Oreochromis niloticus: one gene and its partner. The protein of the gene in region 2 purifies or fractionates together with the protein of the main gene of each other region. This does not show direct contact. Links are inferred from orthologs where the notes say so. Each region holds a gene or a part of one and is shown on either strand. Other genes may lie near its edges.

Evidence for each region.
Region 1: the proteins of slc30a5 (region 2) and mettl9 purify together in Homo sapiens (co-immunoprecipitation; 3 studies listed by BioGRID and IntAct, with this or other methods). This does not show direct contact. The link is inferred for Oreochromis niloticus from reciprocal best matches to the Homo sapiens genes SLC30A5 and METTL9.

What each region holds. Positions count from the first base shown.
Region 1 is NC_031973.2:26,776,023-26,783,931, forward strand, and holds the start of mettl9 (protein-L-histidine N-pros-methyltransferase), read right to left. Parts: upstream 3,122-7,909; 5' UTR 2,514-3,121; coding exon 2,474-2,513; exon of another isoform or gene 2,347-2,473; intron 2,324-2,346; exon of another isoform or gene 2,312-2,323; coding exon of another isoform or gene 2,275-2,311; coding exon 2,141-2,274; intron 1-2,140. UniProt on the Homo sapiens protein: Protein-histidine N-methyltransferase that specifically catalyzes 1-methylhistidine (pros-methylhistidine) methylation of target proteins.
Region 2 is NC_031972.2:31,370,611-31,378,720, reverse strand, and holds the start of slc30a5 (proton-coupled zinc antiporter SLC30A5), read right to left. Parts: upstream 3,393-8,110; 5' UTR 2,934-3,392; coding exon 2,863-2,933; intron 1,472-2,862; coding exon 1,349-1,471; intron 1,038-1,348; coding exon 971-1,037; intron 736-970; coding exon 650-735; intron 1-649. Other genes in the region: annexin A1-like, read right to left, coding at 4,337-4,393, 4,519-4,641, 5,283-5,341, 5,645-5,740, 6,556-6,649, 7,077-7,213, 7,425-7,515, 7,927-8,040. UniProt on the Homo sapiens protein: Together with SLC30A6 forms a functional proton-coupled zinc ion antiporter mediating zinc entry into the lumen of organelles along the secretory pathway.

The DNA of each region.
Region 1 (7,909 bases), on a different chromosome or scaffold from region 2:
GTTAGAGTACCTACATTTTAAATCAATGCAGTTCATATTTTTATAAAACTGTTATATTTGTTGAAATAGCCAGATCTCCCTTTAAAAAAAAACAACCAAACAAACAAACAAAAGCAGACATATGTACAGGGAGTGCAGAATTATTAGGCAAATGAGTATTTTGTCCACATCATCCTCTTCATGCATGTTGTCTTACTCCAAGCTGTATAGGCTCGAAAGCCTACTACCAATTAAGCATATTAGGTGATGTGCATCTCTGTAATGAGAAGAGGTGTGGTCTAATGACATCAACACCCTATATCAGGTGTGCATAATTATTAGGCAACTTCCTTTCCTTTGGCAAAATGGGTCAAAAGAAGGACTTGACAGGCTCAGAAAAGTCAAAAATAGTGAGATATCTTGCAGAGGGATGCAGCAGTCTTAAAATTGCAAAGCTTCTGAAGCGTGATCATCGAACAATCAAGCGTTTCATTCAAAATAGTCAACAGGGTCGCAAGAAGCGTGTGGAAAAACCAAGGTGCAAAATAACTGCCCATGAACTGAGAAAAGTCAAGCATGCAGCTGCCAAGATGTCACTTGCCACCAGTTTGGCCATATTTCAGAGCTGCAACATCACTGGAGTGCCCAAAAGCACAAGGTGTGCAATACTCAGAGACATGGCCAAGGTAAGAAAGGCTGAAAGACGACCACCACTGAACAAGACACAAACTGAAACATCAAGACTGGGCCAAGAAATATCTCAAGACTGATTTTTCTAAGGTTTTATGGACTGATGAAATGAGAGTGAGTCTTGATGGGCCAGATGGATGGGCCCGTGGCTGGATTGGTAAAGGGCAGAGAGCTCCAGTCCGACTCAGACGCCAGCAAGGTGGAGGTGGAGTACTGGTTTGGGCTGGTATCATCAAAGATGAGCTTGTGGGGCCTTTTCGGGTTGAGGATGCAGTCAAGCTCAACTCCCAGTCCTACTGCCAGTTTCTGGAAGACACCTTCTTCAAGCAGTGGTACAGGAAGAAGTCTGCATCCTTCAAGAAAAACATGATTTTCATGCAGGGCAATGCTCCATCACACGCGTCCAAGCACTCCACAGCGTGGCTGGCAAGAAAGGGTATAAAAGAAGAAAAACTAATGACATGGCCTCCTTGTTCACCTGATCTGAACCCCATTGAGAACCTGTGGTCCATCATCAAATGTGAGATTTACAAGGAGGGAAAACAGTACACCTCTCTGAACAGTGTCTGGGAGGCTGTGGTTGCTGCTGCACGCAATGTTGATGGTGAACAGATCAAAACACTGACAGAATCCATGGATGGCAGGCTTTTGAGTCTCCTTGCAAAGAAAGGTGGCTATATTGGTCGCTGATTTGTTTTTGTTTTGTTTTTGAATGTCAGAAATGTATATTTGTGAATGTGGAGGTGTTATATTGGTTTCACTGGTAAAAATAAATAATTGAAATGGGTATATATTTGTTTTTGTTAAGTTGCCTAATAATTATGCACAGTAATAGTCACCTGCACACAGATATCCCCCTAAAATAGCTAAAACTAAAAACTACTTCCAAAAACATTCAGCTTTGATATTAATGAGTTTTTTGGGTTCATTGAGAACATGGTTGTTGTTCAATAATAAAATTATTCCTCAAAAATACAACTTGCCTAATAATTCTGCACTCCCTGTATGTGTGTGAGATATATATATATATATATATATATATATATATATATATATATATATATATATATATATATATATATATATATATATATATATATATATATATATATATATATATATAGATAGATCTCTCTCTACCTCTCTCTCTCCACACACACGTCACTTTGCCAAAAAAAGCACATGTGTCTACATTGTGACAGGAATGAAGTTCGTGGCTCAAAATTACCCTCTCATACCCACGAGAAACTTGTTTGCCATCCTTTTCACATATTATAGATCAACAAGTCAATAGCAGTTTAAATACGGGCAATAATTTTTGTGCAAATACCGGAAATCACTTTGGCAAACGATCACTTTTTAGTCCAACACCTGCACAATTGATTCAAACTTCCCAGTATTTCACAAAGCGTCGTTTTACCCTTTACAGAACCCCCGCTGTCGCGACAAGGACCATTCGCAGGTAACCTACCTTTGTAACGTCTATCGTATCCAGGTCGCTCAGCATGTTCACCAGGAGGGAGCGGACAACCGGATTTCGGATGTACTTCCCGGTCCACATCCTCCTGATTGAGAGCAGAAAGGCGACGTAACCTACGACCCACCCTACAAAAAGCAACGTCCTCAGCTGCAGAGGACACATAATGAACAAAGTCTTGAGCAGAAGAGATGACAAACCGAGAGAGAAGAGGCAAAGTGGCCAGAATGCCGTGGTTAATATTAGATGATGTTAAAGAGGCGAACAGCAGCCACTTGCAAAGCAACACGCAGAGGCATGTGTCCGGTTACACGACGGCAAACAAACCTGCGGGGAAAGCAGAGGATTCAACAAGGCCCGTTACCATGTACTTAATCCCACTGTTAGCTTATTATATTCAATTCAGTGCCATCTGTAGGGTCTCTGCCCAATATGACAACAAAAAGGCAATGCTTTGTCTTCTTTTGGCTTTATTGGAGGCGTTTAAACCGCTTATGCGCGCTTTACCGCCACCCTATGCTTAGGCGTGTCCATTAGACCTAAAAAACCGGTTTCCAGGACCTATCACCTCATTTAAAACCCAGCAATTATTTAAAGCGCCCGTGAATCATTTCCTGCAATATGTAAAAGTTTTTCCAGTCGTTTCCTCCCCAAACCACAGCTTATTGTAAGTGAATATTTTAAAGATTGAGGTTGCCACATGACATCACCTGTTAGTGAAGTTCAGTTTTTAAGGTTTGAGCAGAGTGTTCGCTGTAATCTTGGCATTGTGCAACCAGGCATGATGCAAGGTTTGATCTGACCAAGAAACAAGAGCATGCTCACTGGCTAACAAATGGTCAGTGACCAATGAACAAACTCTGGATAAGTTACTGCACTATAGGACTAGAAATGTGAAGATGCACCTCATTTTATTCAACAGCCTGAAAGTAGCAACCAATCTCAAACGGGAATGTTTAAAGAGGTCAGAGCAAGGGAACTCAGGGCCAGTTTTCCATAGACTCCTGGTATCCTGCAGTCTTGTGACAGAGTCACCCTCCAACCATAAACAGGAGCATGTTTATGGACTGATATAAAGGCTATTCTACACTAGGAATGTTTCCTCTAGAAATCTAGCAAGGTTTAAAGATATTTAAAAAAAAAAAAAAAAAAGTCTGTTACTTGCACCAATGAGCAAATATGTGAATTTTTCCAACCAAACTAGTAAGCATCTAAATAGTACACAATTTTGTCCAAATATGGTTACTTCTGGATCAAAACCAAATGCACAACAACAGTGGCTATTGCTGTCTTTTTTTAGTTGGCATTGATTATACAAAACATGAAGACAATGCAATGTTGCAAGGCCTCAGTTTCAGACAAGACTGCAAAAGCGAAATGGGGCACTGAAATAATTTAAAGCAATATGGGAGAATTTGAAGTGCCTGAAGGTGTTACAAAAGATGCCATCAAGAGGCAAGAATTGCTTCTCAAAGAAATTTGATTTGTCCCTTTAATCACTGCGTCTCCCCATCTTGCAGTTTAGCTATCTTTGCATTCCCATTACCAGCAGGCATACAGAGATGATGTTGGCTGTTGCATATTGACATTATGCCAACAATTCATCCACTGAACTAAAATGAGTCAAGTTCCCTCTTGTGGCTTCTCAAACCTATTAGAGTTTCAATACACGACAGAAGTCTTGCTGTGGGTAACAGACAGCCATGGAGAAACCTTTAACTGATTGAATCAACTTAGGCATCATTTCATAATTCATAAAATATGTGCAAAAAACATCTGCCATTTAAAAGCAAGAAAACACACTTCACCAGATTACCACTAAAATGCTAACGATGTAAAAATGAGGTCATTTAGCATCAGTTTGTCAATCGTCTGCAGCAGCTCAAAGATGTGAGAAGCTTTCCTTTAACTTTACAGTTTCATTTGTTTTACTGGGAGAAGCTTCTAAGAGAATTCTGTGTAAAAGACTGTCTAGACATTGTTTGAATTGGTTTTCCTTACTTTAGGTTTCAAATAATTGAAACAACTGCACCATGTCCTGTTTTGCTGCTCAAGAGAACTTTTTCATACTTTGCATGGTTAGAACAGCCAGCAAGATGAGTCACATAGTGATCCTAGTGATTGACCTTGGAAATAAAGAGTGTGTTCATCTCTAGTCTGTTTCTTTCCCAAAGGGAATACCACATGATAATCCTAACAAGGCCGTGCACACAAAAACAAACTCCACTAAGAATAGTTCAAATATTGACTTTGTGAAAGTTCTCCCAGATGAATTCACTCAGGGCTTTCAAATACAAAGCTCAAAAGCAACCTTTTTGAATTTGATCTTCAAATGTCTCCTTTCCAAAGCTGAAAACTGCTGGAAGCTGTCACTCATTTACATTTATATGGTTTAGATGAAAATGTTATAAATAAAAATGTAACTAGAACCCAAGAGAAGCAGCAGTGGAAGCCTTCTTTGTTGTGAAAAAATATTATATTTTAATTTTATTAAAGATTATATTCTATATAACATTAAAGTATAGTACAGTGTCACACTATAATTAACAGAAAGGGAGGTGTGCAGACATGTCCTCGACATGGACAAACGCATCCAAGAGGCTCTCTGGGAGACATTTCTACAGATATGCAGTGAATGCCCAGGAAATACACGGACCCTGGAAGCAGTGTTTGAAATTCAGCATGTGTTACATACCTGCACGGCGCGCGAAGAGATGAGGCTTACCTGCACCTGCAGAAGTAAACGAATTTCAACACCTCCTGCTACAGCTATTTATTTCCGGACATAATGAGCAGATAAAAAGTGGGCGTGGTTGGCTGCACTTGTTGTTCGAAGACCACTTGATGCCTTTGGAAAATGAGAAGGAAAGAATAAATTTTGGACTTCTTATGTGATAATTTTTCTCGTCTTATTTTGACCTTATCCTTTATAACTTTCTAGCTCCTCTTTTCATCTCACAATTTGGTATTCTATCTTGCCATCTGCATGTTTTGTCCCATCACTTAGATTTTTCCCTCATAATTTTAAACAATTTGTCATGCCTTCATTTTCTTTTCAGTTTTTCAAAACTCTCACCATTGACCTTTGTGGTTTCATAATGATAGTTTTCTTTTTAAAAACGCCGACTATTTTAGCTGATCATTTTAACATGCAAGTCAAATTGTGACAATTTCTTTAAATCATGACTAACTTTTTTGGTCTTTAACATTTCTGGATTTGGTTTTTCTTTTTAATGGCCGAAATTGACTTCTATACTATACAAGACTGTAAACGCGAGGTAACAGAAAATCGCGTTGCCTTGAATTTGACTAGGAGTAATGTTAGTAGCAGTGTTTCATCAGCAGATGTCGCTACTACATCACCGCTCTGCTAGCTCTCTCTCACTCTTCTCTCCTTCGATGAAACGCCAGCAGGGTCCACTCAGGGAAATAAGCTTCTAACAAGACTTACTTAATACTGACTAAAAGTGGTCTGAGGATTTAACTCACACTGCCATCACACAAACAGTCAAATTTAAATCCGTCAAGAAAACCTAAGCAAACACACAAAAACAACTAGGGCTAAAATAAGCAATTAAAGTACATAAATTGGGGAAATGGCTACTTAATAGCGAGAGCTTTGCTTTGTAATAATAGTACTAATATTTATTTTTTAATAATTATTAATAAAAAACAACTTTTGTTTTAATATGACGGTCATACAGTAGGTTGGTTACTTACCTCCGTTAAGTTAACCAACCCTAAGAAGAACGCTAGATCGAGTTGTGTAATTTTCCCTTCACAATAAAATCATATAAAAGTGGAAGCCAGACAATCTAAGGGTTATTGCTCAGTGGCGTCAGAAACTGACGTTGAATTTTCCGGTCCGAACATAACTCTGTGCCATCTGATATTGAAAACAAGCAAAAACAAAGGAAGTTTGACAAGCAAGAATCCAAGACTTGTTGCGCAACTTTACTTTGAAAGTTTCTACCAGAAGTTGTGTCAGTGTTCGCGGGTCTCTTGACGGTGTAAGTCCGTCTTGCGCTACCCTGAGCGCTCTTCTTACTCGGTTGTGAGCTATCTTATTACAGCACCGTAGTTCAGCAGGTGAGAACCTTTTTTCCTTCTTTAAACCTGTTCATTGTGAACAGACTAAAGCAGACTAAAAAGAGACGGACTCGGTTAATAGAAATACGACAGGATTATAGTAGGAAGGACGGTAGCTGGGACACCTTGATAGTTGAGATTGGTAACTTGGCGAACTAGATTTGAACGATGAGAGCAGACGGCAGTCCCAATAAAATGCGTCCACAAGTCGCATGATCCTGTTTTTTTCACTTACAGGCAAATAGCTGAACATGTACGATAACTTTGAACGAGCTATTGGCGTTTTCCAGTAAATTTCCCTGGTAGGCAAGGACCTTGTTTTCATAAATCACCAACTTTCAGGGCTTTTTCCACCCATCTGTGCTTCACGGTGGTGGAAGAGGTGTTATGGACTTGTGATGTTCATATGATGCTATTGCCGATGTTTGGATTTCATAAAGTTCTCAATTTTTTGTATATATTACATTTGTCCGTTTGCTGCAGTGGGATGTCAAATGAAATTGTCCCAGTGAACAATAGAGGTTTGGTCTGCTTGCTATTGAGCTGAATATTGCAGAGAAAATTAGGTCTACAACATATACATCTAGTCTGAAAAGTCAACATTTTCAGACTAGAGAAAATTAGACTGAAGAATTTCTCTTACAGTGTAGTGCAACTCAAGGATTTGTCACTTATCACTTTGGTCATCCACGATCACCTACGGTGTAACCCTACTGAAGTAAGCTCTCTATCCACTTTAGGCTATCATGCCAATTTTGGCTTCCTCGTTTACATTGTGCATTGCTCATGTTAGTGATGGGCTGTGCAGTTGTTTACTGCCTGTAGAGGAGCCTGGCTAGTTTTAAACCTTGTGTCAGTACAAAACATGCATTGGCATCTATTGCTAGGCTACCCTGCTGCATCATCACCTAGAAGTCTGCAGCAGAATAGCTGAACTATGTGGAGATCGTGCCGGCAGAGCACTATTTCATCCAAGACAGCTTCCTCTGGACTCAGACTGTTTTGTTTTGCATACAGACAGAATCTAATTGGACACTGTTTGACTGTGAAAAACCCTGTTTAATCTGCCTCAGTGGTAAGTTTGGAAACCCAGGGAGGCTGTCTCTAAGTTTCCCTGAGATCAATTGTATGGTCATTTTGTGTCCCCCTAGTACACAAAATGCACTTGCTAACCCACACATCTGTGATTTTGAACAAATTGGTTCTGAAGTGGCTCTGCCGGCTGGTTCTTCTCAGAGAGAAAAACACAACTTTTTCTCCCAATAACGTAAGCTTGCAGAATGCCTGGCATTGCTTCACTGAAAAGATGCTTCCTCTTAAAGGTCAGGGGGATGTTATCAGTGAACGGAGACCATGTTGCTGCACGGGAAGAGTTGGAGATTAGTTGCACACTCCAGAGGGACCTGGCTTCCTGCATCAAAGAAAACAAACAAATGCTGGGTCAAGTTTAAGTCACTTGCTTATTCCTGACTGGCTTATTGATTGCTTGGAAGGGATTGCATTTTATTTGCCTGTTGAATTAGACAACCTCTTCAATTAGAGCTTGATAATTGTTTTATATTAAAGGATATCAAATAATGGTGCCATTGTTTATTAGGTTTCACAAAATACTTACTAACTTACCACAATGCACCTGTATAAGCTAAGCATTTTTCCCAGACATTTTTTTAGTCT
Region 2 (8,110 bases):
CTAAAATCTACTTCCAAAAACATTCAGCTTTGATATGAATGAGTTTTTTGGGTTCATTGAGAACATGGTTGTTGTTCAATAATAAAATTATTCCTCAAAAATACAACTTGCCTAATAATTCTGCACTCCCTGTACAGCTGTGAGTCTGCAGACACTCTCATAAACACTTGTAGGAGGTAGGGATAGCGTAATAAGATAGAAATTATTCACAAAAAGTTCAATTAAATGCAGAAAAACTAAAGTAAACAAGTAAAAATCTAAACAAAAGCCAATAAAACGCCATGTAACAAGCTGAATATAATACAAGAACAGCTCTGTAAAGTAAAATACTTGCTTACTACATTAAATTACCACTTTAAAGTAGCTGTGTAAAATGAGATGCTACTGTACTAACTGAAGAAACATGCAAATATAAAGACATAAAGACAGGTGTCAAATAATTCTAGTGGAAATTCTGCCAGGCAAAGCAGGGTTGTGTCCTTGTACACCTCTGGCTGACCTGACTGTCTTGTTTCTTTCAAGAGACCACCAAACAACCATTTTTAGTCCAAAGAAACACAATGAGACTCGGGGAGGGATTTGAACTGTTTTTCCTGCACCTCTAATGCTGCATTTTGTTTTATTTAACTACTGTTTAACTACTTCTTACCTAAGAGGTCCACAAAGAGTTAGGCCGAAGAAGCCCAGGAGGGATATGACACAGCTGAAAACAGCATGCTTTAACAACTTTATCCACTGCAAAGAAAGCAGATTCATCAACAGACATTAACACAATGCACAAGGTGTTTTTTTTCCTTTTGCAAAGCCAGACTTAAAATATCTTAAGCATGACATATATAAGAAAGGCTATAACAAAATCACCAAATATTTAGCAAACATTCACGTGTTCAAGCTAATGAACAACAGGAAAAAGAACAGGAAAATTAGAGGTTGAAAAACTGACAAATTTAAAAGGTAAAGTCCAACAAACCTGTCTTTTTGAGATGACTTTTCCAGATGAAAAAGGTTTTTGGAAAAAAAGCAGAAACACTGCACTCCTAAGACCAAAACAAACAACCAAAAAAAGTATCAGCATGTTTTCACCATCCATAAATACAAAATTAGCAAAAGGTCTTGGTGAATAATCACATTTTGTCTTTTAACTCCACCTCAAAAACCTCAAACTCACTCACTGCAGCTGGTAACACGTTCAGCTGAGATGATGGACATTAAATATCTATTCATCGCTCTTATTGAGCAAGTGTGTGAAGTCAACAAAAATTGACCAGAATAACTGTAATTAAGATTTTTGTCACTACAGAGCAGCCCTAACTAACAATAATACATAAAACAAACAAAGAGTACTTACCCTAATTTCAGTATGAAGATGAACTGAACTATGTGAACCACTTTGAGGATATCGTATGACTCAAAGATCCCAAGAGCTTTGAGGACCTTCGAGATGACCAGCAGAACAATGTACCTGGTTAACCTGTACAAGGAAAGAACACACTACACATTAGTACAGACTGTGGTGATAAGAGTAAAATCAACTGTCATTTACACTGATGCCCCTCCTAAAATCTAACACCATCTCTTTTTGTCTTGACCATATTAGAGGTAGAGACAGGTAAAAAGAAAAACTTTAATTCACTGATGGTTTAAAGAGAGTCTGTGTGTTCCTTTTTTGCATCTCAGACTTTCAACATAACAACACGTCATGCCACCTACAGAAACACTGAAAATTATGCAGTGATTGGATTCATTAGTCATGGGCAGGAGAAGGAGTACAGAGCACTAGTTGAATGATTTTAGACATAGAGAGACTCTCTAAGTCTTTTGTGGTGTGATCTAAGACAGCGGTCCCCAACCCCCGGGCCATGGACTGGTCCGTGAGTCGTTTGGTACTGGGCCGTGAGAGTTGAGACTCGGGTGTGAAATGCATGGTTTTCAGGGTTTTAATCGTTATTTTTTACCGTTTTTTATCATTAACTCTGTTTCCCTGGGTGTTTTCCTGTGTTATTATTACATCTTTTTTTGTACCGGTACTGGTTTTATGCTGTTTCTGTATTTATCTGCGATACTTTAAAGGCCGGTCCGTGAAAATATTGTCAGACATAAACCGGTCCATGGCCCAAAAAAGTTGGGGACCGCTGATCTAGGAGGAGGAATGATCTGCTTTTGAATGTGAATAAGACCAGAGAGATGGTGAACAACTTAAGCTGTGCATATCCTGGGACAGGATGTTGATGTGGTGGAGGAATACAAGTACCCATGTGTCCACATCTACAACAAGATGAACTGGAAGTCAACGACAGAGGGTGTATAGAAGAAGAAAACGATCAAGCTCTATTTCCTAAGCTATAGTTTGAAGATTTTCTCAGTTAGTTGTGGTGAATGGAGTGTAATGTGCTGTGGTCTGCTGGTGATTCAGCATCACAGCCCGTGACACAACAGACTGGATAAACCAATTCTTAGACAACCCCTGATAATTTTTAGATGTCCACTAAAACATAGCATGCTAGAGTCAATCTTGAAGGTTTTTATACCAACATACCGCTCAGATTAAGGGCATAATTAATACTAATTAATTAATAATACTTAATAATAATGTAATGACTGTTAGTTTATAAGTAAATCTGAACACTTTTTGTCATAGTGTTCTTAACTATGGTGTCTGGTTGCAAATATCGGACACAACAAACAATGGGAAATAATAATGGGTTTTCCACTGCTGTGGACAATTTATAGCGTAATCAATTCTTCATAAACGCTAACATATGGACTACAGACTCATGGATGAGATTTGACTGATTCCGTGACATAAAAACAGTTAAATCAGTTTAAACTGACTGAGTTTTTAATGAAGGGTGGAGAACATACCTGGAATCGGGCACTTCGACCATCCCCAGCTGACCCCCTGAGAGCACGTTGCTGCTGTATTTTTCTTCCATTTTCAAGCTCCCCAAACCACCAGCTCCACTCCACCGACAGTTACATCTGTTACTTGTGCATCGTTTACATCGCTGCTGGCGGGAGAGTCAGCTTAAACTACTGTCTGTTCACTGCCGGAGAAAATAAACGGGCTTCTTCTGCGTCCTATTCATCCTCCCGTCAGTGTCTGATGTGTAAACTACAATCAGCTGGTAGCCTTGTTAGCGTATTAGCCGGCTAGCTAGCCACTTTTCCCCCAAAGTTTCCAGTGGCGTCACGTCCTCGGTGTACGGTTCACGTGACCCAGGCGCATGTGGACTCGCGGTCAGAAAAAGATAATGAAAAGTTATGAGTCTGAAGTGGCCGCAATAACTGAGAAAATCCGCAATGACAGGATAAAGAAAATCAAACACCCAAGCTGCCCGTGTTGCCACGACACTTCCGGACACGGTAAACTGTCCACGTCACGTGCAGTTATTCGTCAGCCTTGCGCCTGCGCAGATGATGAGGATAGGGTTTTTTTTAAACTTTATTTAGAAAGTTGTTTTATATACTTTTTATAAACATTTTCGACGTTTCTTTCTTTCTTTCTTTCTAGAGAAACATACAAACATATTTTAAAAAGTTGTCCTGTGTCGTGTCCTCCGTTTATGCTGTGTGCTCCTCTGCTTCGCCTGTTCGGTTTGTTTTTCTTCTACTCTGTATGTTTTTGTTTCTCCTGTGGGTTTCCAGCAATGAGTTTTGAGTTCATATTTTGTCTCCTGGGAGACGTAAACCAAGTGCTGCTATCTGGGACCAAATGCTGCTTACCACTCAGTGTTATGAGCAATTTTTTAACCAGATGCAAAACATACCACATTTCTTTTCAGTCCTTTCAAATAAAAGTCTCATACATTTTGGCATTGGAGATTTGGGTTTTTTTTGTTGTTGTTTGTTGTTGTTTTTTGTTGTTGTTGTTTTTAAAAAAGCATTTTGTGTTTTCAAAGCACTAAAAAAAATGTGCATGATATTAACCAATTCAAAACTTTATTTTAACCCTAGATGGTTTTGCCAGTAGGTGGAGGCTATGGGCTTATGTAATATAAAAGCCTTACTTCTGATACAAAGTAAAGATTTTGAAGATTAAATAGAAAATACTGTACTTGATTTCCCATTTTATCTTCTGCATTTCCAATAACCAAATATATTTTAATATACATTTCTACAACTTCCTCATACGTTATCTTTCAAAAGACATTAAAAGAAAAAGAAGAAATACATTTTGCCAGAAAGAAGGCATGAAATGCTTGGTGCTGGAATAACTTCTTTATTAAAGTTTAATCTCAAAAGAACAGAGTAGTCATGCATTTCAGAGTTAAAGCTGTGAGTATTTAGTGGAATAAGTTGGTCTCGGTTTCCAGAGTAAAATGGTAACAGATGAAGTTCAAAAAGCTCCACACAGGCTAAGCAGGACTTTCCGATAGTGCTCCTTGGTGTCTTTCTGTGGAACAAAGATATTATTAGCTGAAATATTCAGATACTGTATGCTGTCATTTGAGTTCACAATTAGTAAAAGCAACATAATAACAATGGGTTTTTTGTGTTTTGCTTTTTTTTTTTTTTTACCTCTATGTCATCATTTAGGGATCTTTGGTGACAGTTCCAGTATACCTCCTTGATCTTCTTGAGGTCGACCTCAGAGCGACTCACCAGTATCCTGTTGAGAGTTTTCTCACACGTGCCTGGTTTCTGTGAGAGCAGAGCAAAGTTTTGGTTATTGAATACTGTAAAAAATAATCTAAAAGGTTATGCTGTACAGACGTTATGTTGGCGTTAAGCTCCAAACACTTATTCAAGAGTTAACCTTTCAGTGTTTTGGGTGGCCAAGAGTACGGACTCCTTCAGCAACTCGCGGTGTTCCTGTAGCTGTGCAGTATCCTAACACAACTAAATAGTATTTACAAGTACTCTCAACTGTCTGAGGCAAAAGTCTAAGCCATTCATCGTGGCATTTTCTAAATGCCATTTGTTAAACTAAGGTTATATAAAGTAAATTTAAAACAAACTAGTGCTGTTATTTGGTATGCTGTTAAGTACTGTATACTTAATATAGCTTAAGTCTTTAAGGGGACTTAATTTTTGAGGGAACAAGTAAGTGAAGTAAGTAAATAAGTGAAAAAGTGAATCTGTTTTGCAATGTAGATACTGCAGAAGTGCTCAGTTTCAAACTGCTTGAACAGTTTAAGACATCCAGCCTACTCACAGACTTGAACCTTCCTTTTAAAATACATAAATCAATGTACATTTATCTGAATGGATGAATACACACACAAGCGCACACACACACACACACACACACACACACACACACGGAAAAAAAAAATACACACCTCTAAAGCCTTAACAAGCTTCTGGGCAAAGACAGCTGGTGTGTTCCAGGCATATTTTGCTATGGACATCAAAGAGAGATAAACAGTTACAAAATGATCTCAAGTTGAGTCCAGATGCTACCTCACAGCTGTGTTATAGCCCATACCGTGGAAATCTGTTTTCAGGTTATAATCAATCTTAAATATTTCCTGATCTAAATGTACACAAGACGTGCTATGGCATCACATTTGTGATACACATTTCCTGCTCACGAGAGGATGGATTTCATCACTCGCACGTCCTTTGACCTCAGCCCACCCCCACCTTGAACAGAAAATAAAATGAAAACTACATAATCTGATGAGGACAAACATCAACTTACCAAGGTCGATGAGACAATTTTCAGTGTCTCCTTTCAGCTCCTTTTTCAGCACTGTGGGTAATTTGACGTCCGTTTGTTTGCTATATGCCTCCAATACTAACAGGTAAACAGACAAACAGGTAATTCTGGGTTATTAGACCAAATCCAAATATGTTCTTAAGGCTATGCAGCATATTTAATTAGCAGCTGAGGAAATAAATAGGTTTTAAAATATTTATAAACATAAACATTCAGATTTTAGTGAACAGTGAAACATTAGACTGAAGTTCTAAAAAAGAAGAAAGCAAATACCGCATTACTTCACCCAACAGCAGCTTCGATTGGAAATTTATGCGATTGTACGACAGATTCCAGGATCATCAGTTCAAACAACTCTATGCAAATACAACTTATTCAGAAGGGTCACCATTTTGCTGAGGTTTGGAAGAAGACCTTCAAGTTCAACTGAAATTTACAGCTGCCCACATGGAAGCGCTAAATGCCTTCTCAAGAAAGGTTTCATGGTCTGATGAGACAAAATTGAGCTATTTGGCCACAGTGACAGGAGGTATGTTTGGAAGAGTATAGCTGAGGCTTTCAAACCTAAGAAAACTGCACCAAGTGTCAAGCACAGCAGTGGTAGCATCAAGCTCTGGGACTGTTTTGCTGCTACTGATACATACATTGCACAAAGTGGGGTGGATAATTAAGAAGAAGGACTAGTTCCAAATTCCTCAGCTTTAAATAGTAAACAGACTTCATAACTCACTTAAAATCCAGACTGACTTTGACTCTGTATTGTTCTCACACTGCTGGGTGTGTTTCACCTCCTACCTGCAAGAGTGTGGTTCCACCTGTTTTTCTAGATGTACGTTGTGTCTAATGAGTCAAACCCAACCAAGAAGAAGTGTTCAGACTTTTCAAGAACTCACCTTTTCGGAGGTGAGGATAGCTGCGCTTGGTCATCAAGTCAATGAAGGTGGACACGTTGAATTTGCTGCCCTGCTCACATAATGTCAGCAGCGTCTACAGACAGACAAAAAAATGGATGATAATCATAATGACTTATACTTAACTGCAGTTCCTCTAGTGGCCACATGAGACTGGCTGCAAAAGTCAGCTACTGACTTCCACGGTAAAGTCCCTAGAATTACTACACTAATAAACATATTTACAGCCTGATACAAAGGACTGCTTTATTAGTTTGGTACTTAGCAGATAAAGCACAGTTTATGGGTGTAGATTGCTAACCAAGTGTGCTAATGTCCACCAACAACATGTTTGAATTAATGACCATCTTTTATACCCTCTGTGATTGTTACATTATGTGCACAAGAGAAACTAGTCCATATTTGGCCAAACGCCACAGATAGGAACCATCAAAACATCTTCTCACATAATTTGGTGACAACATAAAGCAAAATAGTTTAAGATTTTGGTTACATGAATTTACCTTTGTGTCTTTTGAAACAAGATCATTGTCTACGCGAGTGCTCTCATCTCTACCTCCACTTAGTAATTCCAGGAGGATCTTGGTGTAGTTGCCACTGGTCTCATTTTTAATAACTTCTTCCAGCTCTGTTTTGTACTCTGAGGAATCAGAAGAATTTCAGAATAATGGTAACAGTTTACAACAATATGATGGCCAAATGTGACTACAATAAGTCTAGCTTGCTAGCAGCTACAGACACTGGAGACACTTATGAGTGTCAGCTAGATATCTAAGATGTTGTATAAAATTCAATCTTAGTTCAGTAAACCCAAACAACAACCATGTGATATCACATGACTGTGATAAAACCTTGTTTGAAGGCCTTCTTGATCTCTTGAATCTCTTGGTTTGTTCTCGTTGCCAAAATCTCAGTCAGAACTTCCTCATCTGTGCCCATACCCTGTTGGATAAATCAAATAACAAAAATAATAAAATCTATAAACAGAAAGAAAAAAATATTTATTTAAATATCCCTCAAACAGAATTACAACTAAGTAGTTTTTTTATAACTTATTCTGATCAATATGTTTAGCTATTCCTTAACATTAGCATAAAAATATCCTTCAGTTCAAACTATGGTTCAGTGTGCTGCTGGGAGGGTTCTTGGCCCATACTGAACCCACTAGCAAATTTGTGATCACCATTTAATTCAGTTCATAGTAACACAACCTAAATGATAAACTTAGTCTAAATACGTAACCTCTTAATGAACTGAAAAAAAATTAAAACTATAACACTGCTTAATGAATTAAAACAAAAGAAGTAATATTGCCCCAAATCAAAGGTTTAGTACATAAACCACAGATCCTACCTTTGTGGCTTTCCTAAGTTCGTAGGCATCATAGTGAGCTGGTGTCATGAGCAGTCCCAGACAGATGACCTCCAAGTGTGCTGTCAGAACTGCTTTCAAATCGTCAGCCAGCTTCTGCAACACACAAGCATGATCTACATGAAGGACTACTATTCACTGTAATCATCTTTGAGCTTAAATTAAA